Linked DNA regions of Notamacropus eugenii. The protein of the gene in region 1 interacts with the protein of each later gene in a biochemical or structural test. Links are inferred from orthologs where the notes say so. Each region holds a gene or a part of one and is shown on either strand. Other genes may lie near its edges.

Region 1 (7,533 bases):
TTACCTCATATTTCACCAAAAAAAAAAAATTGAGACCATTCACTAATCCCCTCGTCATCTCTGATCACTAAGGCATCTCCCCCCACTATCTCCTCTTTCACCACTAGCATGAAGAGACAGCCCTTCTCGTCAAGGATGACCCTCTACATGTGTCCTTGACACCATCCCCTCTGGTCTTCTCTAGCAGATTGTTCCCACAATCATCCCCAGTATCTTTCTAATCGTCACAGTTCCCCTTTCTATTTACTGGCCATTCACCACTGTCTTCAAATATGGACATGTCTCCCTTATCCTTAAAAAAAAAATCTTCACTTGATATGACCATCCCTGGTAGCAATAGTCCCATATCTCTCCTCCCCTTCTTAACCAAAGCCTCCACTTCTCCACTCATTTCTAAACTCTCTGCATATCTCACTTTAGATCTCATCATTCAGTGAAACTACTCTCTCCAACATTACCAAAGATTGCTTAACTGCCCAATCTAATGGCCTTTTCTCAATCCTCATCCTTCTTGACCACTCTACCCTCTTTAATACTGCCAAACACCCTCCTGGATTCTCAATTCTCTCTAGTTTTTTATACACTCCCCTTTCCTGGATCTCCTCCCCACCTTTCTGACCAATCCTCAGTCTCCTTTGTTGGATCTTTACAAATATCCTTTATTTATTTTATAAATAAAAAGTATTTCCCCAATCTTCTTTCCTGGGCCCATTCACTTTGTGTTCTCATCACTTATCATCTCCATAGAGATGATTACCAGATTTATTTATCTAGCCCTAATCTCTTTCTTGAGCTCCAGTCTTGAATCACTCACTAACTGCCTTTTGGACAGTGCTTCAGTCCTGCGTCTCCAACTAACAACCCAAATAGAAGATGTCTGAAACACAACTTAATTGTTTTTCCCTTTTCCCAACTTTCTTATTTCTGTGAAAGGTATCACCATTCTATCACTCAGGTTTGACACCTTGATGTCATTCTCAACTTCTTCCTATCATCCAAATATCCAATATGTCAAATTGTGTCATTTCTACCTTTACAAGACTTCTTATCTACATTCCTTTCTCCTCATTCTCACAGTTATCTCCCTAGTTTTGGCACTCATCACTTCTTGCCTCGACTGTTGGTATTTTTTTTCAATTAATAAGCATTTATTTTTATTGAAAGGGAAAGAAAAAGAAAACCCTTGTTATGAATATGCATAGTTAAGCAAAACAAATTCCTTTGTTGGTCATGTAAAAAAAAAAAATGCTTCATTCTTCATTTTGAGTCCATCACCTCTCTGTTGGGAGATGAGAAGCATGTTTGGTTCTCTGGAATCATGGATAGTGATTGAGTTGGTTGGTGTTCTTAAATCCTTCCAAGTTGTCTTGAAAGTCTTGTTTTTATAAATATTTTTCTCCTGATTCTTCCTCACTTTGTTCTGCATCAATTCATATGTCTTTCCAGGTTCATACAGGTCTATCCCTTTCATTATTTTTCATGGCAAAATAGTATTCTTACATTCATATACTGTAATATGTTTAAGCTATTCCCCAATCGATGAGTTCCTTTTAATTTTCAGCTCTTTGCTATTACAAAAAGAACTGCTAAAAATATTTTTGTGCGTATGGGTCCTTTTTTTTTTAGGCTATAATCAATTGCAATTTTTAAAATTTTATAGATAATTTTACTTTTACATCTCTTTGATTTCTTTTTTAAGATTTATTTCATTTTTAATTTATGGAATAAAACCAATATTTCCATGGTATAGTATAATAAAAAAATGATTACGCATGAAACTGCAAATTACTATATATAACTTGCTGTACCTTTTAAATATACAACAAAGTTATCATCTAAATTTCTTTTTTTCCTCTTTTTTCTTCCCTCCTTCCCCCAGAGATGATCACTCTGTGTGTGTGTGTATGTGTGTGTGTGTGTGTGTGTGTGTGTGTGTGTGTGTGTGTGTGGTGTGTGGTGTGTATATAATTATTCTATGCATACTTCTGGGGGCCATCTCCTGTTGTCCTTATCTATATCTGGCCTTTGGACCCAGATGGTTCCAGAGGAGAAAGTGAGGCTGGTGACTTTGAACAGTCCTCCCTCCCTTAAATCTAATTCACTTTCAAGTCATAGCATCACCTCCTTGATGTCATGGTCCCCTTCGAGAATGAAGTACAAACAACGTTCAGTTCTTTCTCTGGATGTGGACTATGTCTTCCTTCATCCTTTATAGTTAATATGAGTATTTATAATGATAGAATGACTGATTTGCTCAGTCATTCTTAAAACAATACTGCTGTTGCTGTATGTAATGTTCTCTTGGTCCTGCTCATTTGGACATAAGTCTTATAGTATTAGCTCTGGGTCAAAAGGTGCGTACAGTTAGTAACTTTTGGGCAGAGTTCCAGATTGCTTTCCAGAATTTGCCTGGACTCTTTACAATGGAATTCTAATAGGTCTTCCTGCTTCAAGTCCCACTCCAAACCATCCTCCCAAAGTGATTTCCCTAAAGTTCACATCTTATCATATCATCCCCACCTCCCACCCTCAGTCAATAAACTCCAGTGGCTCCCTATTACCTCCAGGATCAAGTATAAATAAAATCCTCCCTTTCAGCCTTTAGAATTCTTTATAACTGGTTGCCTTTCTACCTTCTTAACGCTTTTTACTAACTCTGTGAACTCTTTGTTTTTTCTTGAACTCTCTTTTTTTGGTTTGTCTTTGCCCCTATTGTCAACCTGCCTAGAAAGCTCTCCTACTTTACTTCTACCTTTTATTCCCTGGCTTACTTTAGGTCTCTGCTTATATCCCACTTTTTTTTTTTTTATGTCCCACCTTTTACCAAAGGCCTTTGCAGGCTCCTCAGCTATTGGCCTCTTTCCCTCTGAGGTTACCTGACATCTGCCTTGAATGTACATGCTGGGTTTCCATGTTGTCCAGAATGTGAACTCCATGAAGACAGTCATTTTGCCTTTCTTTGTATCTGGGCCTTAGCACTACACAATAAGCACTTAACACATGCTTATTGACTGGGAAGTTGTTAGCATCAGGAGGTAGTTCAGGTCTATATATAGTAGCAGGTGCTCCACAAATGTTTGGCAATGGGGATGGGGATATTGGTGTAGATATCTGAGTATTGTATGTGAATTTCTGTGTGTGCTCCCAGCCTGCCTCTTTTCTCACCAGGAAGAACCTAGTCCTTCAAAGTCAACACTTCCCTTCCCTTTCCTTCCCTTTCTGTCCTTAAGCAATGGAGAGCCTTTGGTGTCCTGTCCCAATCTCCTTGGCCTGCCTGTCTCCCTGTAACCTGAGATGCTCTGGGTCAATTTCTCTCCCAGACTGGAGTCCCCTTGATAGTGGTGGGAATTATGTTTTCCTAACCATTTGGTGATTGGCCATATCCTTCCCATAGTCCTAAGAGTTCCAGGACAGGGGGCCAGGGTGAGGAGGGAGAACCTAGTCTGGATGTGAGGATTATATATCATATCACTCATCCAGCTCCTTCATCTTGTAGGTAAGGAGAGTGAGTCCCAGAGAGGCAAGTCCCAGTAAGTAACAGTAAGTAGCCTTGCCTAAGGTAGGGAAGGAAGGAAGGAAGGAAGGAAAGAAAGAAGTTGGCGGTAAAAGCTAGAATTTGAACCCAGATTTCTTGGTTCCAAAGCTAGAGCTCTATTTCACTGGGTTGCTTTGGGAAGAATGACTGGCAGAAATTAAAATAAGTAATTAAAATGACTGTTAACCTTTGGGAGCCCCCAAACTTTGTTCTTCTCCTGTAGAGGTTCTTGGGCTTCCAACCATCTTCTCTCTGGCAGCACAGAGAGCCCTTTAGGGAGAGGATGCCAAGCTAGAAGGCTGGAGAAACAATTAGGCCCCCCCACCCCCTGGCAGACTGGAGGCAGGTGGCCCAGAAACTGGAGACAGGGAAGGCAGGGTTCTAGGGTTCTGTGACTTACCTGGCCCTCTGTTCCAAAGCTTCCCTTCTCTTGGAGTCTTCTAGCCTGGCCTATAGGTGAGGAGCACACCAGCGCTCTACCCCAAAGACTACCAGGGGTCATCCTCTCCACTTTTTCTCCTTCCATTCTTTGGTGCTTTTCTCCTTGTCAAACACTATTCTCAGGCCCTGCCCCGGGATATCCTCTTCTCTCCCCTGCTCTATCACGCCCCTGCTTCTCTGTTCCCTAGGGAGTTGGAGCCTAGGTTACCTTCTGGCATGACCTTTTATCCAGTGGACTCTCTTTCTTTTTCCAAGCTTGGGCTGGGACCGGGTTCACCCCATAGAAGCAATTAAGATGGAGGAGAATTTGTCAGGAGGGGAGGAGAAAAGTGTTAGAAGTCATAGATGAATTCATCTTCTCTACATATGAGCATGCTCCTGCGTGGGAGGTTTTGTGTGTGTGTGTGTGTGTGTGTGTGTGTGTGTGTGTGTGTGTGTGTGTGTGTGATCTTTGTGACCAGGTATGCGCATAAGTCTGTCTTTATGTTTCTGTTGCTGTCACACACATGTGTATATATGCGCACGACATGCTTCGTGTGTTAAGAAATTATACGCTCCTGTGAGATGGGTCCCAGCACCACCACCATAAGGCTCTGCTTTCTCAGCTTGTCTACAAAAGCAGAAGTAGAAGCAAGTTCCCCCTGGGGGGTCTGGCCTCGCCCCTTCCTGTCCCCGCCTCCCCCCCTCAGCTGCCCTGGACTGGTGGTGCTTCTGGGAGCTAGGGGCCAGTGCAAGGAGGGACTGGGCTCTGTCCTGGGCCCTGTTTATACTGTCCTCCCTCCTCACTCGTCAGCCTACCCTGCAGGAAGACTTCCCAGGATGGTGAGGTAAGGACCGAGGGTGCAGGATGCTGGGGGGAGGAGCTGGTTCAGGGGAGCAGGTGCTCTCTTGTATCTAGAAAAGGGAGACTGAGTCTTGGGCTCTGGACAGCACCTGTCCTGGCCTCTGGTGGCCCTAGTCCCCAGCTGCAGCTTCTCTTCCACAGGTGGTTTCACCGAGATCTCAGCGGGCTGGATGCTGAGACTCTGCTGAAGGGCCGTGGGGTCCATGGGAGTTTCTTGGCCCGGCCCAGTCGAAAGAACCAAGGGGACTTTTCCCTCTCAGTCAGGTTGGTGACTTTCTTCCTTTTTCTCTGGTGACTCTGCCTGTGCCCTTCATTCCTTGGCTTTGTCTCCTCCAGACTACCTCCCCAGTCCTGTGTGATGACCCTTAGCGCTCCCATGAATCAAAGCCTCAGACCTCCACACTGCTCCCTGCTCCCTGCCTGAACCCTCTGGTTTTGTTCTAGCCTTGTGCCTTCTTTTCCCCTTTCCTTTTCTGCTCCCATTTTCACTATTCCTAGTTTGTGTCCCACAGGGTAGGAGACCAAGTGACCCACATCCGCATCCAGAATTCAGGGGATTTCTATGATCTCTATGGAGGAGAGAAGTTTGCTACATTGACAGAACTGGTGGAATATTACACTCAACAGCAAGGCGTCCTACAGGACCGTGATGGCACCATTATCCACCTCAAATACCCACTCAACTGCTCTGACCCCACCAGCGAGAGGTGAGGCAACCCTCCCCCAACTCCTTAACCCCACTCAGAGGGGAGGTTAGCCTTGACCCTGGACTCTTAATAAGGGTCTTCAACCTAAGGAGAGGTGAGCGTAATAGTAACATCAGGAATGCAAGAATCCCTTCTACAACAGATGAAGGCATTCCATTGATGGACAGCTCTGGTTCTTTCTAGAAAGTTCTTTTTCTTTTGGGCCAAAATCCACCTTGTAGTTTCCATCTATTACTGTTCTTTCTGTGATCTGAATCTACATGAAATACATTTATTTTTTTTCCCACATGACAGCATCTTCTCCTTTAGCCTTCTGTTCTCTGGCCTAAATATCCCCAGTTACATTAGTCTTTAGTCATCCGACATGGTTTGCAGACCATTTTTATCATTGCCCCTTATGAAATGTGGCTCCTAGAGCTGAGTGCCAGATGTGGCCTGACCAGAGGAACTACCTCCTCCCTCAGTCTGAACACTGTACTTCTGTTAATTTTGCATTAGATTTTCAAAAACAGTGTTTTGGTCACTGGAAGTCTTTGAGGAAGACCAGATGACCATTTGTTGGGTATATTGTAGAAAGCATTTGTGTTTAGTTATTGGTTGGACTAGAAAACCTCTCATATCCTTTCCAAAACTAAGATTTCATGATTCTGACACTAAGTGTGCAATCAACTGAAATATCTTTTCAGTTCTTTTCACATTAACTTCTGCTAAACCATGTTGGCCTGTCCTGTTCTTGTGCACCTAGTTGGTCAGTGCATATTGAATCCTGTTCATACTAACTGTTCATGTCAGTTCTTATGATATTATATATTATCATATATTTTTATCAACTAGCTAAGTTGATAAGCTAAGCCACTATTCCAAGTCACTGATTTAAAATATTGACCATGATAGGGTTAAGAACAGTCCTAGAGAATGCATATAGCTATTCTCACTACTTTTTAGGAAGTTTCAGACTTAGTACCCAACCTCAACTTTCTCCTCCTTCCTTGGTAATTCCATGGTGTCCCCTCTCTGCTGCTTCACCTACCATGTTCCTTCAGTCCTTCTTCCCATCCCAATCTAAGATCTACTCAGGACACAGGGGCTGAGGGAGTCATGAAGGCCAGAAGCAGTGGGTGATATGGAGGGACTATAGAGAGAAGAGTTTGAGTCAGTCATGGGAATGATAGTGGCAGATTGACTGGGGTCAAAGGATGCAAGAAAGGGAATTAAAAAAAACCAGTAGAGCCATGGATTGGGGGATAGTGAAGGCACTGGTTTTTAATAAAGACCAAACCAAGGGAGACCTTCTAAGAGATGATTGTGAGTGGTTGGTCACGCCCTCCCCATTTCCCCAACGGGTATGTCTGAATTGTCCCGAGGAGTACTCTGTACTCTCTGTGTAGAAAAAGAAATTCACCCCAACAAACCTTCCTTGTTATCCTTCCCTTTCCCTTTCCTTTCTCTTCGAAGTAGTTTCCCTGGGGAATTTGCATCTGTTCCCTCTGTACTTGATTACTAGCCTGTGGGCAAGTCAGTATTTGCATGGACTTTCCTCCTCTGGTTGTTGGAGGTTGGGGACCAGACTTTAGAGCCCCTTCCTTTTCAGTCTGGAGGACCAGGCCTACTTCTGGAGTAGAGTTCTCTTGGCTTAATAGTAGGGTTAGGTGCTGGAGACTGGAAAGAAAACCTTTGGGTCCTTAGGTCAGTGGTCACTGAAGCCTTGGCCTTCTCTGCACAAGCATTGAAAAAATTAAGTTCTTTTTCTTACTGTCTGTCCTACCCTCCCCCTCCTACCTCATCATCCCTGCGGTTGGAAAATCTCTACCCCCCCTCAACCCCCAGGCTGAAGAAACCTCACTTCTCACTCTCTCCCCAAAGGGAGCTTTTTTGCTTTTTCCATCACGTGTTTTCCTGTGGGGCTGGGCAGCCCTGGGGTTAACTGTTTCCTCTAGGGAACAGGTTGGGAGGGGGGAGAGTTGGGGGGATGTTGGGGAAAGGTTCCAGTTCTGCTTTCTGTCCTG
Region 2 (6,935 bases), on another chromosome or scaffold:
TACAAATATGGTGTTATTAACCTATGTTAGGTGCTCAATCATTTTCATATTTTATATGGCTGGACAGAAATTCAGTTCTCATTCTTGAATACCACCTTCTTAACCAGTTGTTCACTACCCCAGTCTGCCAAACGCTAAAGTTCTTGCCTTCTGTGAGCAGCAATGAAGAGAGAAGGAAAGAAAGAAAGAGAGAGAGGGAGGGAGGGAAGAAAAAAGGAAAGGAGGGATGGAGGGAAGAAGGAAAGAAGGAAGGGAAGGAGGGAGGGAGGGAGGAAGGAAGGAAGAACTCACCTGTGCCTCTTAGGTCTTCAGTGTTGTCCATGATTTTGTAATCTTGAGGAATAATTTCTAGGTACCTTATGGTGATATAATTTCTAATCTTGTGAATTATTAGGAGTGGGTAGTAAGCATGTGGAATGGCAAACTTTGGGAGAGTCCCTGTCAAGTCTTGGATATATGTGTTAGGAAGACAGGAGATCTCTCTATTATTGTTATTAGGTTGACAGGTGACTCTGATGAAGGGAATCACCAGCCACTTTTTGTCCCATCTTCCACTGACCCTTACTGGATGATCTTTCATTTGATAGCTTTTATACACACACTCCCATGTTGTCATTCCCTGGAGGACTAGCAGCTGCTTCCTCTTCAGGTAGACCTCTCCCTCTTCCTCAAAAAATTCATAGGATTTAGCTAGCTAGTATTCGTAGAACACTTTAAGATTTGCAAAGGACTTCTACAAATATTTTGTTTTATTTTTATGACAACCCTGGGAGATAGGTGTTATTATTATTTCATTGCACAGATGCAGAAACTGAGGTGGACAATGGTTAAGTGACTTCCCCAGGGTCACACAGCTAGTAAATGACTAAATCTGGTTTTGAACCCAGAGTTTCCTTACTCTTTGCCTGGTACTCTAGACACTGAACCACCTAGCTGCACCAGTAAGTCTTAAAGAAGTCTTAAGCTTGTGCAAACCAGGCTTCATTTTGTCTTATCCACTTTTTAGAAATGTTTTCCTAATCCATTTATTCCAAATATTTGGTGGATCTTCCCTCTCTCTTCTGTGTGATCTTCTTCTACGCTCCAACTTCCTACCATCCCAGTTTCTTTAGGTTCTGCATTTCCTTTACTTTTGACATTGCTTTGTGTGTTTAATTTCAATTTCTGTTATTTTTTTTAAGGGATAGTACTATCTTTGAGGACCCATAGAGTGGAGCGGCACTCTTTATGCCTTTTTACCCTGTATTCCAGAAGTGAAAGTAGCCTAGACCTTGGACAGAGATAGCAATCATTTGGTTGAGACAGAAATATAGACATGGCTCTCAATGCAAGTCACTACAAATGTTCCCCTGTTCACCATATTGACTGGAAGTGACGATCCCCAGTATTTGTCTTTTTGCTGGTAACTCCTTCAGAGAGCTTCAGTAGCAAAGTCTTCTGAGGGTCTTTAACTCTAAACTTCTCTCTCTCCTCACCTCATTAGAACCTTGTTAGCACCTTGACACCTACATTAAACTTTCTCCCCTTCCCTCCTGGTCTGAACCAAGTTGTAACACTAACCTTGCCCTACCAATTACCTTCTTCCTCCTCCTCCTTGTTCTTCAGCTTGTCTTTGACTTCTTGACTTTCTCCACCTTCAGCTCAACTCTATCATCTCTTCCCTTTGCCTGAGTCCTTCTCTTCCTTCAACCTCTCTTCAAGTCTTTCTAAATTTCCACCTTGTAAAGTCAAACTTTCTTCACAATCCCATAGCCCTTCAAAATGCCTTCCAAGTCGTCTTACTCTTGCTTCTTTTCCCACAAATTTCTCCCATGGAAGCCAATCCCTGTTGATGTCTGGCCCATGGCTGGAATGGAAGCATCTCTGACATCCCAGTCTGATACCAGGAAGAGAGCTTCATCTGTTGGATCTTATTTGGGCATTTAGAGCATTGCAGCAGGACATTCCTCTAGAGCTTCATTGACTGTAAAGGTCTCTATGTGGAACCCATACTGAAAGAGGAATAGGGAGGGGTCTTTGTGGCAGTGAGCACTATCTCATGGGACCCTCCCTCCCTGAGAGTTATCGAGGTAGCCAGCAGAGGGGGGTGCTAGACTTTTTGGAAGTCTGGCTTTAGTGGCCAAAACTGTTGTCTGGGACACAAAATCACATCATCTCAAAACTTGAAGGTATCTCAGAGGTCCCTTAAGTGAGAACACATCTGAAATATAAATCCTTTCAAAAACATCCCTAATCAGTAGTCATTCATATCATATGATAGAGCTGGAAGGAGCCTTAGAAATAACATTATTTTCAAATGCCTCATTTTAGAGATGAGGAAATAGGGACCCAAAGAAGGGAAATGATTTATAATAGCTAGCATTTATCTAATGTATAATCTCATTTGATTCTCACAACAAACCTATGGAGAAAATGTTGTTAATAATGTGTTTTGTAAATGAAGAAACTGAGCGAGGGATAGGTTAAGTGACTTGACCTGGGTCACACAGCTACTAAATATGGACTCATACTCAGGTCTTCCTGTCTGCAAGCCAGGAAATGTTCTAAGCATTGCACTACTTGGTGGCTGCTAGCCTTCGCCTATGGTCACATAGTAAGGTTAAGAGCAGGGCCAGGACTAAATATCTAGTAATGTTCTTTCCATTTTACCACACTGTCTCTTTCCTTTTCTATGACCAAAACAATCACATCCTTTCTCTTCCAGCTATTAAGGTGTCTGCTCCCCTCTCTCACTTGTTTGGAATCTTCTCCATCTCTGAGGATTTCTCGGACATCTCTGAGACTGACGGGATATGTCACCTACTTTGCATCCCACAAAATTGGCTCAAATTCTAAACTCTTCCTTTCATCCAAAATTCCTAGGTCTGAAGGACCTGAATCCTATGCCATAGTTCACTGTTTCCTCACTACTTCCCACCTCACCGTCTGACCAACTAGTGCCTGCATACAGAGGACTAGTCTTATGCTTAGAGATTCATGGGGTTGGGGAGTAAGATCAGGTTGTACTGTCCAAGCAATGGGCACACCAGCAGTGGAGGCCGCAAAGGGTTAATGACTGCTGGGGCTAAGTGACTCCAGATGTGCTGGACCAACCTGTGGTTGATCATGACCAGAAGCCAGGCTACAGCTCTGCTTCCCTCAGCCATCCCCTCCCCTCCCTGGAGATACCCCGAGTCCCCAGTTTCAAAGGAGGCAGGAAGGCCTTGCCCTCTCTGCCATTCCTGCCATGTACACTCTGTCCTTGAATACAATCATAGAATATAGGACCTAGAATTTCAGAACTAGAAGGGAACGTAGAGCAGAGAATGTGAGAACTGGATGGAACTTAGAATGGCCGAGCCGACAGGACCCTTCCAAACCATCTTAGCTCAATCCATTCATTTTGCAGATGGAGAGAATGAGACCCAAAGATTGGGGAGTAACAGGTTACCCCACAACACTGTAAAGCATGATCTCCTGTTTTCCCTTCTTTCCTGGGGACCCTCTCCCAGAGGTACACAGGCGGGCACTGCCTGAGATCCCTCTACCTAGCACAATCCCTGCCACGATTGCCAGGTGATCGACAGATTGCCAATCTATGACCCTACCTTACCGTCAGCAGCAGAGCCCCCAGACCCTATTGCCCAGTCTGGGGAGAGGAGAGGGGAGGGGAGTCACCACCCTGGGCAGAATGGGCTGGCCTCTCTTAATACAAATGACTCAGCTGCTGGCGTGGGCTGTGGAATTTCTAAACATCCCCTCATATCCTGAGAAAGAGGGAGAAGGCAGAGAGTGAAGGGAAAACAGAAAGAAAAACAAGAAACTCAGGGGAAAAAGACCAAATTGAAAACAGACACACGCACACACACACTCCTCTCTCTCCCTCCCTCTCACGCTCCCTGCCTGCCTGCCTGCCTCCCTCCCTCCCTCCCTCCCTCTCACACACCCTCTCTCACTCAAAGAGACCAATCAAAGGGACCTCTTCGGCCTTTCCCCCCAAGTTGTAGGAGACAGAGCTTTCTCTCTCACTCAGAGTTGTCTCAGCCTCTTACTGCTTCCACCTCTGCCTGAGGCCTGGGTACCCTGAACCTAGCCGCTATCCATCTTCCTCGCCCAGCAGGCCAAGAGACAAGGGGAAACCAAGAGAAAACTTTGTAAGCAGAGAGTGGACCAGGAGGGCTTACCTCTTCCTTTGCCTTCTAACTGTCCTTGATCTCAATCCCTCAGAGGGGCAAACATACAGAAAGACCAAACTAGAAAGGCCCTCCTGAGTCTGGAGATTCCCATAAGGATGCTCTAGAACTGTCTCTGTCCCTCCTGCTGCTGGTCCTTGGACCAACTGCTCCCCCTGTTCTCCAGTCACTCCTGCCTCCTGGAGCTCCATCCACGGGGGCCAAGGGAGGTGAGTTTGGAGACAGACGAGGAAGGGGCAGCATCTGGGGACTCCGCAAAAGTAGGCTGTTTGTGAGCAGGCAGCAAACAAGGCAAAGTCAAGAGAAGACCAAGGCAATAAGGTAGGTGCCTGGGCCCCCAACACTCTCTGCCCCCACCTCACCCCACTTTCAGGGCCCCTTTGTCATGTCTCAGCCACACTTTGGTCAAGTTGAAAATGGAAAATATTTTTAGCGAAACCAGATGGGAGAAGCTCAGAGCAGAGTTGGGAGATGTCAGTTTGCAAAAGAGTTGAATATCCTTTGCCATCCCCATGCTCAGTTGGACCTTCCGCAATCATGCCCACCAGACGGGCCCCTCTTTTCTCCCTTTTCTACCCTGTGCCCCAAGAGCTAGCACCCCGCCCCCCTCCATTCCAGCCCTCATTCACACAAAACCACTGGGTTTTCTGGGCTCCATTCTCCTGGCTCAGTATCTTAACAGCGGAGGGTCTGTTTGCCAGAGCTAGGGGGCGGGGCCTGGGGGGGTAGGGGTGGCTTGAGGGGCCAGAGAATGGGCAGAGTGGGAGGGGGACTTTAAGGATGAAGGCTACTAAGGGTGGGGAGATATTGAGGGCAAGGGGTTGTGAGGGGAGGAAGGATTATGAGGAGAGACAAACCATGAAGGGAGGGGACTCAGAGAAAAGTGGCGCTGAAGGGGGTGGAGTGGTTCGTACTTAAGTGGATCAGACTGGAGATAGAGGACAAAAGTTGTGGGGGAAGGTGGGGAACAGATGGGGGGGGTTGGCGGTTAGGACAAGGGACTAGGGAATGAGGGAATGAGTGTGAGATGGCGCTATAAAATAGGGAATGAGGCATCAGGATCAGCAAACAGAAGATTGGGGACCAGGGTTGGAGAGGGGAGACCTTCAGCCTCAGCCATGAGTCTGCAGCCGTTTTCCCAGAAAGGATTTGGCTTCAGGCCAGTCCCTAGGGCCATCGAAGCCCCGGGGATTTAAAGGGCTTTGCAAATTTTCCAGATTCCTAAGATGTCCTTCCAAACCCCCAGCTGATGGGAAACTGTCAGTTTGTTGTAGCTCTCCTTATGCTGTTAGGGGTGGAGGGGTAAGCGGGGAGGAGAGGAGGGGACAGGAACTGAGCTTGGGCAGCCTATGAATGGAGCTAGGGCTCCAGAGTGTGGGGGGTGGGGATACAGAGGGGGAGGGAACAATAGGAGACCTCCTAAGGAAAGCATTGATCTCTCAGACCTCTCTGCCTTTTTCTAAGGGAAGGGCCTAAGCTAAGAGGGGTCAAGGGTGATAGGAGGACCCTGACAGATCCAGCCCCTCAGTCAATGATAGTTTTTCTAGGTAGCTGTAGGATAATTGGTGTATAAGTTTGTGCAAACCAGGGCATTGCTTCATCCTGTCCAGTCTTTAGAAATATTTCTCTAATTTATCTCTTCTTCACTCCCACAGTCACTATCCAGCCTAGGTCCTCATCCTCTTCTGACAGAATGCATTATTAAAGTGATGTTTTGTGAGTACTTGGAAAAGAAAGCAGTGATTACTATGAGCCAGCATGGGTTCATAAAGAATAAGTCATGCCAGACTAACCTCATTTGCTTTGACAAGGCCATACCCTATACATAGCAGACCTGGATTTCAGCGAGACATTTACTATGGTCTCTCATTCTCTTGTGGAATGTGTTTAGAGTGATTAGATAGAGTAGGCTAGATAGTAGCACAGTTAGGGAAGCTAAGAACTGATCAAATAGCTCGTCCCCACAGTAACTGTTCCAGATCTTTCACTTTTTCCTAACGTCCCCCATGGCAGCCTCAACTCCACACTTATCAGCAGATGACCTAAACTGCTACTTCACTGAGATAGAAACCATCTGAAGTGAACCCCCCAGGACCTTCCTTTGTCCCTTAAAATGCAGCAGCAGCAGCAACCTGCCTCAGCCTGAGCTAAGGCTGGCCTTCTAGCTGGACTCTTGTGAGTACATCATCCCCTCCTGATTCTTCTCTCTTGCTTCTTATCATCCCTTTTCTCATGCCTCTCCAGTCTCCTTCTCCAGGAGCTCTTTCCAATGGGCCTCCGTGTTGATCTCCCCATACCTTAAACAAAAGAGTGTTCCAGTGACCATTTTACTCCCTCTAGTTACTTTCTAACATCTCTCCTCTCCCGCACCGTCAACTTTTTGAAAAAAGTGTCATGTGATGTAGATGCTTGGTGATATGATAGTACTTCCTCACTACTGACCCTCAGTGGCACAGTGGCTAGAGCACCAGGGTGAAAATCAGGAAAGATTTCTCTTTCTAAGTTCAAATCTGGCCTCAGACACTTATGAACCATGTGACCCTGGGCAAGTCACTTTATCCTGTTTGCCTCAGTTTCCTCATCTGTAAAATGAGCTAGAGAAGGAAATGGCAAACTGTTCCATTATCTTTACCAAGAGAACCCCAAATTGGATCACAAAGAGTTGGACAGGACTGAACAACACCACCACCTGTTGTATTTTTAGGTTCTTTCTGTGGCCTCCTCTTGCCTACTAAGTTCAAATTTCTTATCTCATCATTCAGG
Region 3 (7,403 bases), on another chromosome or scaffold:
AAAGAAAACCTCAGCAACAAATGCAGTGACTACACTGATCAGTTTTGACATCGCATGCCCAAAGTACCTCACCTCTTTACTAAAAGGAAGGGTGTCTCATCATCTTTTATGTGGTACCAAGACTGGTCATTGTAATTGTGCATGGTTCAGTTTCCTCTTAGTTTTTTTCTTAAATTTGTGTTATTATAGTCATCATATCTATTGTTCCCTTGGCTCTGCTTATCTCTCTCTTAATTACTTCAAGTCTTCCTATATTTTTCTGAATTCCTTATGTTTGTCATTCTTCAGAATAATGCTTTACTATTGTCTCTCTACATCCAATCATTTGCCAAATCCTGATGACTTGTCTTCTGCAATATTTCCTCCTGTCTCCTCTTTAGTCACCACTCTAGTTCAGTATCTCATTTCTACTTATCTACACTATTGTGACAAGTCCCTTACAGTACTCCCCCTCCCCGGGGTAGAGCTACTCATCCCCACGGACTTGACTTTCTTACCTACTCTCTTGGGCCCATCTGTCTGGGAGGGAGTTTCCTATCAAAACAAGTCCTGGGGCAAAAATAAACAAATAAAAAAGAATTTGAAAGAAAGGAAGTGAGAAAGAAAGAAAGAGAAAGGAAGGAACAAATTAATGAATGAATGCCCATGACTTCTATATCAGTCAGGCTAGATACAGAACCAGTATCCTGTCTTCACCCTGCCCCCAAGACTGCTAATACTACAAAGAGACAGAGAAAGAGACAGAGAGATAGAAGGAAAGAGACAGAGAGACAGACACACATGCACACACACACACACACACACACACACACACACACACACACACAGAGCACCCATAAAAGAATTTCCTCTACCTTGAAAAGTTATAAACAATTAATCTTCAGCTCTGAGTCTCCAGTCAGGGAAATGCTCTGGCAGTACACCACAGCTGTAAATTGCCATCCCAAGTGCTCCCTTACGGCCCCTTTCCAATATGTTTGTGCATAGCCACACATGTTTTATCTATACAAACGATTACTTCTGTGTTGCTCTATCTCTATCTCTGTCTCTCTTTCTCTGATTTTCAACTTTTTCTTTTCATCTTCTTCATTGATGTCTGCATGTATGTCATCACACCTTCCCCTATCCTTAACATGCATATTAGGGCTGGTCCTAGGAATCCCACCCTCTTTGTATTTATGATCTTTATATTATTATATTGAAAAGACAACACAAACAGAAATGCAACCTGCGCTTCGATGGACATGCCTAGTTCTAACACGGAGACACCCGTCTTGAACATGCTTTTTTGAGCATGCCAGATTTACCTAATATGGAGTCAGCTATGACCCCTACCACATGGATGGGGAGAGTCTACTTTGATTGGCTGCCTACGTCTTTAAAACTGGCAAGATTAAAACTTGTTCTTTTTGACTACTCTCTTCTCCACCAAGTTTTCTGACGTGCCCAGCTTGGATGCCATGAAGTGAACCAGTGAAAGGGGAAGAAATGTACTTCCCTTCCTCCCTCGCTTTTACTCTCACTTCTGAGAAATAGGTCTAGGGGGTGTTTGTTACTGTCCTGTGCTGTTTGCCATCTTCAGTTACAGGTGCTAGAAGTGATGTCAATGGGTCTGGGAGTTTGAGCCATGGTTCAGCCTGGGAGCTAGGATTGCAGGTGGGGTGGTGCAACCAGTCAGAATGGCATGAAAGTCCTGAGAAATCAGGATGCCTTCAACTAGAGCCCATGAGGGGGTTTTGAACTTGGAACCGGAACTGTGTACTATGGGAACCAGGCTAAACTATGAACCTAATCCTCTTTCCCTCTCCAGAGACAGAGAGGGCGTCCTGTCTCCACTTATTGGGAGTGTGCTTGTGCTTACATTTTTTGAAGTAAATATTTCTAATTTCCAGTCTGACTGTTTGTGACTGATAGAAATGGGGTACAGGAGCATAGTCCTCTATACTTGGGGGAGGAAGACAATTACTGGGGGCTGGAGCCAATGGCAGAGAACTGTAAAGTTAAGGGAATTTGAAGATCTTCCCTGCCCGTTAGTAGGCTCATGTGACCTGCTTTGAGCTTTGGCCCAGCCCACAGCTTGAGTCACATAGAGTCAATTGTGGGAGGAGCTTGCCAAATGAGTGGAGCTGAGAGAGAGTGAGGCAGAGCTGAAGCAGAGCAGCTAGCATGAGTGAGAAAGAGTGGAATTTTGCCTAGGGGAACTTGTTTGTGGGGTGGCCTAAGAGAGGGAAGGCTTGGGGATACCTGTATTCCCTTCATTGGTAATGTGTACAAACTTTGTTGTTACCATGGTGGAATTGGCTTTCTGGTGTTGGAATAAATATTTTTTCATCTTTGAGGAAGAGAGTTTATATTTTGAGAATTTACCCTGGAAATACACATACATACCCATAGCAGCTGCTGTGGGTATCGCATTGATGCTACAAGAACCTAGACCCCCCAAATCACTTTAATGATACTGGAGAACCCAAAGGGCAGAGTGAAATGTAACATACCTGACTTTCAGGCAGTGAGGACCAACATAGTCTGTGTTACAGAAAGGTAAACAAACTCTTAAGAACCGAAGGTAAGTTTCAGAAAATAAGGCTCTGAAGAGAGACAGAGGGGAAGAGAAGAAAGGAGAAAAATAGAAAAATCACTTTCCTATGGGTCTATAGTCTGGGGAGTGGGTTTTGGTGGCATCTTTCCCAGTATGCCTGGTGCCCAGCTCTGATTCTAGAGTCTGGCACCAAATCTTACAGTTAAACATCTTCCTCTTTCCCAGGACACAATCTTCAGCTCAGTTACTGAACCCCCCCCCCTCAATATCCCAACACACACACACGCACATGCACACGCACATACACACGCACATGCACATGCACACACCCACTTCTGTGTTAATGCATTCTCCAGTGGCCCACCATCCTGTTGTCTGGGAGAATAAATCTATGAGTCACATCAGACTCCTTCGGTTAGTCCCTAAGTTAGGGCAAATCCCTGGGTGATTGAGGAAGGAAACACTAGTGTGATTTCTGCCAGAATCAACAGGCAGCCAATCTCCACTGTCCTGATCTCCTTGACACAACACCAAGATGGTACTATGTATATATTACATTTGTACACCCCACCTCCCACAAAAAAAAAGCTCAAACAAACCACTATGTAGCACAAAAACATATCCCACCCTTTCTGTACATATTCTGCACTTCAATCAAATTGCAGGGAGAGTGACAAGCAGACAGACACAGAAACACAGTAAAAAACTAACAAAAAGACACCATGCATGCATACATGGACAAACTGAGATAATAAGATATACACAAAAACCAATGGATGTAGGAACATCAAGCTGAATAAGCTGAGAAAGGCAAACACAGAAAGCTGTAGAAAAAGGGAAATGGACCGGGAGACTTAGATTTTGCAGTGTTTATGTTCCCTTGACTGTGGACATCAGAATAAGTTACCCTTACTGTGTGCTGATAAGTTCCGTAACACTTTAAAACAGTCCTCACTGTACCAGGAAGCATCTTTTCTGTTTTTATTTTCAAACTTCAAAGTTTACTTTTGAAATAAGAGATTATATTCCAATAGAATTCTAAAGGTTTTTTTTTTCTCTTTGAGAATGTAAAGGAATGACATATGTTTTAGAAATTTACTTTGGTTCCACAGCATGTCTGTTTACTACCAAATGCCTTGGTCCTGAAAATTACCTCGTAAAACCAGCATTTCTTGAATTCTTCTGGGACTTTAATCTTTAGAAAATTGAAGACAAATCCTTTTTTGTTTCTTTTGGTTGAATGGGGAGCTGGAATATAGAATGGGAGGGAAAACCAATTTGTCTATAACACCATTCGGAAACAAATGAGTTAAAGTCATAAGGCTTTGAATTTGAGTTCTATCCCTGGCACTCCTGGGCACCTTCCTTAGCCTCAGTCGCATCCTCTGTAAAATGGTGATAACAGTGAATCTTTCAGGATTGTAAAGTACTTTTTAACCACGTGGAGCTACACAAATATGATATTATGATTAATTAGCAAACTCTCATGATTCTGGCAAAGCAAAGCTTTTTTTTTTCCCCCTACCATGGGCTTAGCAGTAAAATCTAGATTCACGACTATTTTAAAATGAGAATAGTTAAAGGGAAGAAATATCTTTCGTCTTGAATATCTTTCTTGAGTCAAGGGAGAAGTCTCCCTAGGTGGAAGGTAGAAATTGGAGGGTCCCTTCATTAAAAGATGAGGGAGTTCCCACTCTTCCCCATTCTGGGGGAGCCAGAAGGAAGATTGACAGGTGTGCCAAGACAAATGTCATTTCTGCTGCTTGTTTTCAAATATACTTTAAGAAACTAAACAAAGAAAATTAGTTCAGCAGCCTCTCAGGAAAAGGCCAGTCATTTCCTGAGTAGCTATCAAACCCGGCCAGAAGCTCATTGTTTTCAGTTTCCAGTAATGGCAGCTATTACCTGACCAGTGAGTGCCACTGGCCATTCGCTATTCACAAAGAGGAAAATCCTTCCAAGAGTGAATCTTAACTTTTCACACTAAGGCTTGCTTATCTATTACCCCTTTTGAAGACAACCTTTCCTACCAGCCCCTTGGTCGGACTTAACCTTCAGCGAATGAGCATTCCTGGGTTCTAGACTGAGCAACTATTACTCCAAGACAAGATGTATCTGGTTCTTCTGGGGATGCTTTGGTTCTGTAAGTTTTTATTTTCATTTTATACCTTAAATTTTATAGGACTTGAAGCTTCTGAGATAATGACACTTGATCTTTTTTTATTTTTTAGGTCCAAGACTGAAAGGTCAAGAGAACTGTAAGTTGTAGATTTTTCTACCTCTTTCCCCCCTTTCTGTCTTGCCTAGGATCTTGTCTAGGATTACAGATTTAGAACCAAAGAGAGTTTGGAGATCTAACCCTCTCATCTTACAGATGAGGGAAGGAGGTCAGACAACTTTCTTTCTTCTACATTATGTTGTCTACTTTGGGACTTTATAAATTACAATTAAACTGGTTTGATTACATTTTTAATGAAAAGATAAAAGACTAGAAGCTCCTCTTTTGGAAGATAATAAAGACATATAAAAATATGATCCTATTAGCACATATGTAAAAAAAGTTTTTGCTTAGTCCAAAACACTTGCATTTAACAATAATGTTTGAAATGTCATGAAAGTTCCAAGTGGGCAGCTGTTTGATTTTTGGAAAAAGTGAGCCACTTCATAATCTTTTTTTCTCTTTCTATGGCCAATCTCATTCCCATTCAGCACACAAAGGGTTGTTTTATTTTTTTAGACCCCAGCAGAGTTTAAGTGATTAGTCTTGGCTGTGATTTTTCCTTCTTCACAGAATATTGATTTGGGTTTATGTTTGATCCCAACACCAAACAATTCAGAATCTTGTGATAAGAGAGAATAAATATGTGTGTGTGTGTGTGTGTGTATCTTTGAAGATTTATTGACAAAGTGAAAATTATATATTTGGAAATTTGGTTTGGGATATAAAATATATGTGGAATAAGGGATTTGTTTTTAACCTTTTGAAAGAGTTTGGCATATTTAAGTAGGTCTGGGAACAAGGAAGAACTTTATATAGGGTAGAGTTCAGTTGCTGAACGGGGAGGAAGTAAAACTGAAACTCTGGAAAAATGGGTAGAAATGTGTGGCTGTTAAATTGGCCTTTAAGTTCAGATTATTTGAGAGTCTTCCGAGGAGGCAGTGTGGAATAGTAGAGATAGCAGTGGAGTTAGAGTTGGGAAGAACTGGTGAGTTCAAATTGGTGAGTTCAAATCCTATCTTAGACAATTATCAGTTATGTGACTGTAGGCGAATCAGTTCATTTCTCTGTGCCTCAGTTTCCTCATCTGTAAAATGAAGGGATTGAGTTTCATGACCTTTTACATCTTTTCTAGTTCTAGTTCTGTCTTTCTCTCTCTGTATGTATATATAAAACAACAAAGGGTTGTTTTTTCTAGATACCAGCAGAATTTAAGTGAGTAGTCATTGCTGCGATTTTTTCTTCCTCACAGATAATTGATTGGATTTATGTTTGATCCTAACACCAAACAATTCAGAATCTTGTGATTAGAGAGAATAAGGTGTGTGTGTGTGTGTGTGCGCATGTATATATAATATATTTTATATATATTATATGTGTATATGTATACATATACGTATATATACATATATACATATATATGTTTCTTCAGGGTGAGCATTTAGTACTTTCCAAAGTACTTTCACCAAAATTTGATTTTTATGATAACGTTGCAAAGCAAGTCAAGTAAGCATTATTATCTCTATTTGCCAGATGAGGATACTAAGCCCCAGAGAACAGAAGTGTGTTTTTCAAGGTTATGTAGTGAATTAGTGGTGGCATGGGGATTACAACACAGATCTTCTGTTTTACAATCCACTTTCTTTATCCATGAAATGGGAACTAACCTAATGGGAGCTAACCTAATCACTTCTCAGGGACCTGTCCCCCAGGTCTAGAAGCTCTCTTTCTTCATCTTAGAATCTCTGGTTTCCTTCAAGTCTGGTCTGCACAAGGCCTTTCCTTGTCCTCCCAGCTGCTTTTCCCACCAAGGTTACCTTGAATCTGTGTTTTATATATGTTTATACACACCCATCTCTCTCCTCTTTCCTTCAAAATAGAAGCTCCTCAGAGGCAGGGATTGTTTCAATCTTATCCTTGCTTCCTCAGTCCTTAGCACAATATCTGACACACAGCAGATGCTCAATAAATGCTTGTTAATCGATGAGGGCAGAAAGTCTTTTGGAAAATTGAAATTCTTTCATTTTGCATGATCTTGGTAAGTTTGGCAAAAATTCCCAGGCTCTTGGTTCTGTGTCTGTTTTTCATTGAAGTAGCAATGTACATTTAGAGCAACTAGGTGGTGCAGTGGATAGAGAGCCAGGCCTGGAGACAGGAAGACCTGAGTTCAAATCTGGCCCCAGACACTTGCTGTATGACCCTGGGCAAGTCATTTAACCCTCTTTGCCCTCAATTTCCTTATCTGTAAAATGACTTGGAAAAGAAACTGGCAAACTACTCCAGTCTCTCTGCCAGGAACCCTCCCTCCCCCCAAAAAAGAGTTACAAAGTCAGACATGACTGAAGTGAGTAAGTGATAACTATAGTAATGTACATTTAGGCTAACTACTTTTCTCTAGACCTCAGTTTCCTCCTTGGTAAAATGAGGTGACTGGGTGATCTCTAAAGCTTCTTCCAGAGTTGATATTCTATAATGATTGCAGTCCACAATCAGCAAGACATTTGTTCTTAGTTGGAAATGGGAGAGAATTCCTCTTTCCCCCGGTAATGAGGAGAGGAAGAGAGCCACTTGACTGGACCCCACTCATTTCATCTCAGTGACTTATATGAGTCAGTGAGATGACTGATAAAGTAGGGGCCACACACG
Region 4 (6,956 bases), on another chromosome or scaffold:
TGATTTCAGAAAAACCTGGAAAGACTCACATGAACTGATGCGTAATGAAGTGAACAGAACCAGGATGCACACATTAACAGCAATGTTGTTCAGTGAAGAACGATTGTCAGCAATACAATGATCCAACACAATCCCAAAGGACTTTAGAAGTATACCATCTGCCTGTAGACACTGAACTGATATTGACTCAATAGACTGGAGCATGCTATTTTTCACTTTCTTCTTGTACAAAATGAATAACATGGAAACCTTTTGCATAACTGCACCTGTATAACCTATGTCTGACCGCTTATCACCTGAGAGGAGAGGGAAGAGAGAAAGAATTTGAAACTCAAAACTTTAAATACAAACGTTTTTTTAATAGTGTGTTATAGTGGGACTGATACAGCTCCTGAATCTATCTTGGTAGATACAATCTCAAATATTTTATGTTTTTCTGTAATTATAGTGAATGGAATTCCTCTTTCTAGGTATTCCCCGTGGTTTTGTTGCTAACAGGAAAGAATGATGATGGTTTACATAAATTGATTTCATATCCTTCAAATTTGCTTAATTAATTGTTTTGAGCTTGACTCTTTGGATATTTTTAAAGTAAGTAATCATATTATCTGCAGAAAATAATATCCTTTTCTCTTTATATATGCTTTTTCCCTTAATTTTTCTTTCTCGTTTCGTTGTATAACTAACATTAGGAGGATAATATACAATAATAGTTATGATAATAGGCATCTTTGCTCTGCCTCAATTCTCTTAGCCCTCTAACTTTTCTTTTTTACATCCAGTGTTTGCTCTTTAAATAGATATTATTTACTACATTAAGGAAAAGTTCATTCATTCCTATGCTTTCCAGTGGTTTTAATAGAACCAGGTTCAAGATTTTGTCAAAATCCTTTTCAGTACCTATTTATATAATCATCATCACAATAACTAACATTTATTCAGGGTTTATTATGTGCGAGGCACTGTGCTAAGTGCCTTATAATTATCATCTCATTTAATGCTCACAACATTGCAAAATAAGTATTATTTTTATCTCCATATTACAGATAAGAAAACTGAAGTGGGCAGGGGTTGAGTGATTTGCCCAGGGTCATAGAACTAGCAAGTGCCAGTGGCTGGATTTAAACTCAGGTCTTCTTGACTCCAGATCTGGTCTTCTATCTAGCTGTTTTTGTATTATTAACATGCTATATTTATAGACTTCCTTGTGCTGAGAAAATGTGCATTCCTTGTATAAATCCAATCTAGTCATTGTGAATAATTTTTCTAATATGTAATTGTTGTGTACTTGCTAATATTTTATCTAAAATGTTTCTGTCAATGTTCATTAGATATAGTGTCCTAGAATTTAATCACATTTATATCATAGAAAACAACTCTATGTATGACATTTTCTTATTGCAAATGATAATATGTGTGTAATATTATTCTTTTAAATATTTCATAAAAGTTAATTATAAATTCATTTGGCTCCAAAATTATTGACTATGGAAGTTCATCCACAGTTTCTTCAAGCTCTTTTTCTAATTTTAAATTAACTATATAGACTATTTCTTTGTTTTTAATGTTTATTTTATCATTAGTTTTTCCGATTAAAAGCAGTTGCTATTTTTATCAGTTTGAGTTTCCTTTTTATTAATCTTTCCTTTAGTTTTCAGAGTTTCTAAATTGTTGCTTAGTTGAAGGCTTTGTTCTTTTGATTAGTATGTTCAATTCATTGATTTTTTCTTTTTATTGAAAAAAACATTTAGAGATATAAACTGTCCCCCAAGACCTACTTTAGCTGCATCCCATAAATTTAGGCACATTATCTAATTAAAGAAGGAGTGTTAAAAGACAATATCCTATATTAGTTAACAAAATATTCCTAGTCAGTCCACAATTGGCATTTTTCTTGATATGGTTAAGATAAATGTAAAAATTATAATTAATCATTCATAACCAAAAGAGGAAAAGAGCTTTGCACAGTAGTTCAGAACTTCTACTTTCTTGGATTCTGCCCAAAGCCATTCCCTCTTGTTCTTCAACTTTGGGACTTCAACCATAATGGTTCCCCACCATGTAATTTTAAGGTTAAATGGGGTTTGGGGATCACCCTGTGACAGTGTTTGAGTAGGATCCTTCTCCTACTGTTGAGGTTCTCATCAATCCCTTCCACACTGAGCCCATGATGAGTTTCTCTCCAGTTGCTTTTAAGTAGCCCCTCCTCCCTTCTTTTTTCTTCTTCTTCTTCATCTTTTTCTTCTCCTTCTCCTCCTCCTTCTTCTTTTTCTTCTTCTTCTTCTTCTCCTCCTTCTTTCTCTCTATCTCTGTCTCTGTGCCTCTCTCTTTTTCTCTCTCTCTCTCCCCATCCCTTCCTGTATGGTTCTTTACATACTCATTTCTCCCATTTTCTTTTTGGTATAGAGGAACTGGCAAAAGATATATGTCCACACCACCAGTTGAACAATATTTCATGAGTCATCTTGTATGGAAAAGGAAACTGTTAGATATACAGAGTCAGAATAATGTAACATTCTTACTTAAACTGACAACTAGTTATTCTGTGCAACAAGACTATGAACAAATTAATAATGAATTTGCTGGTCATTTTTCCCTCTTGTGACTCAACACATATGTAAGGTATGATTTATAAACTGGGTTTGTGCATGACAAGAAAAATATTTTTAAACTCCTTGGGGTGGGGGTGGGGTTTGCCTTTAAACACATTTTTTTTTTTTTAGCATTTTGAACATCCTAAATGACAATTATCTATGCTATTAAGATACATGGTTGTGGATGATTCAAAGCCACTTTCCATGAATAATTTCAGTGACCAAGGGAAATTAAATGAGATATCACAATAACAAAATCCAACAAGAACATAACTTTATCCTGACCTTGTCTGGCAAACCACTCCAAACACTTTTGTTTGTCCTTGTCTAGCCAACCAATTGTTAAGTCTGTAGAAGCTCTCTGATCTGTCTGTTCCTTTACACTCATGCTGCTCTCATCTCTTCTCATCTGGACTAGTCTTCTAACTGGTCTTACTGCCACTATTCTATCCTTTCTTTAAACTATGTGTATCAAAGTTACTCTGGTAACCATCATGGCTCCTCCACTATGATGTCACTCTTCTCCTCACAATGGGTAAGAAGCTCCCCACTGACTATGAGAGGAAAAATAAGTTCTCAAGAGGCATTCAAGGCTCTCCAAAATTGGGTTGTAACCTACCTATTCAGCCTTAACTCTTTCCGCTCTTCGTATAGCTTTTATTCCAGCTAAGTTGAACTACTCTCTGTCATGTATTCTTATCCCCCTCATCTCTCATCTTCTTGTACTTTTGCTCCCACTGTCTCCATTGCCAAGATTGGACTCTCTCATCTCCAATCTTCTTTCTAGATTCAGCAGAAATGCACCTTCACCCTTCCTCTTTTATCTTCTCAAGAAGAGGTAGACATTCATTCCATATATGGAAGACAGAGAGTGAATGCAAGGTATGGAAATGCATGGTGGATTACTGGATGTCAGAAGCAGTGGTTCCATTTGACTACTTAACACTGATTAGTTTGTACAGAAGGATATTTACTTTGAAGACATACAAATGCACAAACATTCTCAAACATACACAAGTACTAACTACTGAAGATCATACTCCTCTTTTCAGCATGTTGGTCTCTGGGGAGAGGAGACTCAGATTTAGCACACTCTCTATCTAGCATTAGCATTCAACTCACCAAGTTCATGTTCAAATGAGACATCATTACCTTAAGTCTGATGGTGCAGTGGATTTAGTGCCAGGCCTGGAGTCAGGAAGACTCATCTTCCTGAATTCAAATCTGGCCTCAGACACTTAACTGTGTGACCCCTAGGCAAGTCCCTTGTCCCAGTTTGCCTCAGTTTCCTCATTTGTAAAGTGAGCTAGAGAAGGAAACTGCAAGTCACTCCAGTATCTTAGCCAAGAAAACACCAAATGGGTCACAAAAAATCAGACACAACTGAAACATGTGTGCAATAACAACAATGTCTGGGCTGGTTCCTGAAGGTTTCTCTGTGATCACTCAGGCAGAAAAGCAGGGCTAGCTGCCAATCCTGGCATAGACTCAACTTCTAGAATCCCAGAATTCCAGATGACCTTTCAAAACTCATGAAGTTGCAGCCTCCAAGTTCCTTTTCCTAAAGTGAAGAAACAAATGCTCTCACAAAGAAGGCCCATATTGAAAGGGCCATCTATCAGTTTCAGGTGGGAAAAAACAAAACAAGAAGCCAAGCCAAGAGAAAAAGCTGAGGATATCTAATCCCTTTTGAAGGCATCCCAAACCAGTTCTTTGACTGTAGCCAGTCAAATAGTCTTCTATTTACCAGGTGGTTAGAAGACAGCAGTCAATTACAAAATGTCCACGTGTGCTCTAACCCTCTCCAAGGTGCTTCCATAGCGCATCATCATGATTCTTCCAGAAACAGTCTACCTAAACTCTTCCAAATGGGAAATTGAATTAGAGGCACTCTAGGACTGCTTGTAGCTACTGAGATTATTTACCATTCTATTTGTCTCCTCTATTCACATATCTACACAGATTAAAGTTTTTGTGCTCCTGTGATTTTTCAACGATTTTTATCAATTTAGCCATGAATTTCTCTTTGCAGCATGTGAATTAGAAACTTTTTTTCCTCTTTTGGTTGCAAATGATTAATTCTATTATAATTCTTATATCCACCTTAATTATATCAAGAAATAAATGCCAATTGTTGACTGACTGTGAATATTTTGTTCACTAAGATAGGATATTGTAATAAGAATTAATGATTAAATATGAGGTAGGTTGGTCTCTATTGTTATACTCAGTGTATGAGTTGAGAAAATGAATAAGTATAATAAATAAGGATATCTACTTGCATATTTTAACATATTTATTTACTATGCTGCAAAATGAAATAAGAAACCATTATCTAAATAAATAGCATTTCACAAGTCCTTTGACAATACCACAGATCTAAGCTAGAAAAATATACTATTAGGCTAATGGGCAGAGTGCTATGTCAGAAATTCAACCAAAGTTATTTCTAAACAGGATGCTTATCATAAACTCAGTCCTGATCAGAAGTCTAACTGTTCTTCAATCAAAAGAGCAGTTACCACTATTAGACACCAGATAGCAAAGCAAAGAAGATAAAAACATATTCACTCTTCCCCAACTACAATTTGCAAGTTAGAGCCCTAGAGAAGAGATGCAAAACTCACATAGCAGAAATTTCTTTTCAAGAAACAAGTGGCAGTCTTCCTAAACATCAGGAGTTAATTTAGGTCATTTCACTGAAAGGTACAAAGGACCAGTGTAATTACATCTATTAGCCCATCCCTTTTCTACGCAGACACTCATTTCTCTTAAACAGTTCCTGGTCATGTTGTCCTGCACTGGGTCCTACAAATCACATTCGTCCTCTCAATGAAATGCAAGATCTTGCTGCTGTCCCCAGTCTCCATGTTTAGCAGCCGGGTACTTTGAGTTTTCCCCCACTACTGACCATGATGAACACTATTGACTATATCAAGAAATCAAACTCAACGTCCAGAATTAATTTGAATAGGGTTAAACACAATCAAATCAACAATCTTTAAATATACCTCGTTGAGGACTCCATTTCTGTAGGCCTTTCTGTTGTAAGCAATATAAAGTGTAAATAAATATATTCTAAAAAACTTATATGTGGATTAAATAGGAAAAACCAAGTAGAATTTAATCTTCTGTTAGAGAATTAGATAAAGAGCTGGCCTCAGAGTCAACATGACCTGAATTCAAATTCAGCTCTGATTAATACTGACTGTGTGATCCTGCCAAGTTACTGCCTTCTCAGTGATTCCAAACAACTCCCTAAAGCTAAAGTTGCAAATCAGGTGCAACTCTACAGTAGTGGGAATAAAAAGTTCCAGTCCAAAACAAATTTTCAGTCATCCAGGAAATATATTATTCTTTGAGGATTTATTCCAAAATGATAAACTACTAAAGTATTTAAAATATGAGGAAATAGTTCAAATATGGAATTAATCTATAAAACGAAAGGATTATACTAAATGATCTCTAAGATTCCATTAATTATAATTTATACATCTGATATTCAAATACAAAATTTTTCTTCCATTATTTTATTGTTATAGCTCAAGTACTTGGCAAAAAATAGGCAGATGGAGGCTGAGGGGTAATGTTTTTATTTTTGTTTCATCTATTATACTTTTTCACCTACTGCATTTTAGCTAAAAGCAGACAATTCAATCGTCTTATAAAGAAATAAATTTTTGTCTAACTGAATTGCTAATTAGCAGGAGAAAATAATTAATAAGAAATTAATACCAGAAATATAACATGACCCAATATAGTTCATTTTCTCAGTCTTGCTAGAAATTCAATTGATAATCAAAATGATCTGAAAAGCAATCCTAAACTAGATGCCCATTATCTTCTTTTTTCAGCTGATGAAGTCAAGTACAGAAAACACAATGAGTCATCATTCTTTCTGCCCACACAACTGTCACCATAGAAACTACTGTAGCAACTTGAACATTTTATCAGACATTATAATTGTTCTGTCCACTTTAAGCAGATCAGAAATCTGCTTAAAGAAAAAAATCCTAGCTGCAGTCTTTCTGGAAACATTTCAAATATATTATAATCATATCTGACATTTAGCTATATGTGTATTATCTTATTATTGATTGTTGTACTTAATGTATATGAATTAACATAATAAGGATGTAGATAAAAATGCCTGCCTACATATTTAGACATATTTAATTATTATCCTATGAAAAGGAGTTGCCCTGGTAGGTATCATTTCCAAAAAGGAGTATGCTTTGTGTATATATAATCCAAACAAGAAAGATTATTTGCTTAAGATTTTAATATTGCTAAAAAGCAAAGGAGAAACAATAACATTTTTTTTACTTTTTTTCAAGAGCAGCGTTTCACTTAAAATCAGTG

The links.
Region 2: the proteins of PTPN6 (region 1) and PDGFRB form a complex in vitro, tested with the Homo sapiens proteins (2 studies listed by BioGRID and IntAct, with this or other methods). The link is inferred for Notamacropus eugenii from reciprocal best matches to the Homo sapiens genes PTPN6 and PDGFRB.
Region 3: the proteins of PTPN6 (region 1) and PECAM1 form a complex in vitro, tested with the Homo sapiens proteins (2 studies listed by BioGRID, with this or other methods). The link is inferred for Notamacropus eugenii from reciprocal best matches to the Homo sapiens genes PTPN6 and PECAM1.
Region 4: of the proteins of PTPN6 (region 1) and SYK, one has a biochemical effect on the other in vitro, tested with the Homo sapiens proteins (2 studies listed by BioGRID). The link is inferred for Notamacropus eugenii from reciprocal best matches to the Homo sapiens genes PTPN6 and SYK.

Annotation. Positions count from the first base shown.
Region 1 is NC_092874.1:195,341,556-195,349,088, forward strand, and holds the start of PTPN6 (tyrosine-protein phosphatase non-receptor type 6), read left to right. Parts: upstream 1-4,517; 5' UTR 4,518-4,540; coding exon 4,541-4,803; intron 4,804-4,961; coding exon 4,962-5,084; intron 5,085-5,332; coding exon 5,333-5,527; intron 5,528-7,533. UniProt on the Homo sapiens protein: Tyrosine phosphatase enzyme that plays important roles in controlling immune signaling pathways and fundamental physiological processes such as hematopoiesis.
Region 2 is NC_092872.1:377,728,054-377,734,988, reverse strand, and holds the start of PDGFRB (platelet-derived growth factor receptor beta), read left to right. Parts: upstream 1-3,923; 5' UTR 3,924-4,493; intron 4,494-6,224; exon of another isoform or gene 6,225-6,347; intron 6,348-6,935. UniProt on the Homo sapiens protein: Tyrosine-protein kinase that acts as a cell-surface receptor for homodimeric PDGFB and PDGFD and for heterodimers formed by PDGFA and PDGFB, and plays an essential role in the regulation of embryonic development, cell proliferation, survival, differentiation, chemotaxis and migration.
Region 3 is NC_092873.1:327,459,828-327,467,230, reverse strand, and holds the start of PECAM1 (platelet endothelial cell adhesion molecule), read left to right. Parts: upstream 1-4,403; 5' UTR 4,404-4,648; coding exon 4,649-4,682; intron 4,683-4,770; coding exon 4,771-4,797; intron 4,798-5,669; exon of another isoform or gene 5,670-5,759; intron 5,760-7,403. UniProt on the Homo sapiens protein: Cell adhesion molecule which is required for leukocyte transendothelial migration (TEM) under most inflammatory conditions.
Region 4 is NC_092872.1:107,506,112-107,513,067, reverse strand, and holds the start of SYK (tyrosine-protein kinase SYK), read right to left. Parts: upstream 3,019-6,956; 5' UTR 2,880-3,018; intron 1-2,879. UniProt on the Homo sapiens protein: Non-receptor tyrosine kinase which mediates signal transduction downstream of a variety of transmembrane receptors including classical immunoreceptors like the B-cell receptor (BCR).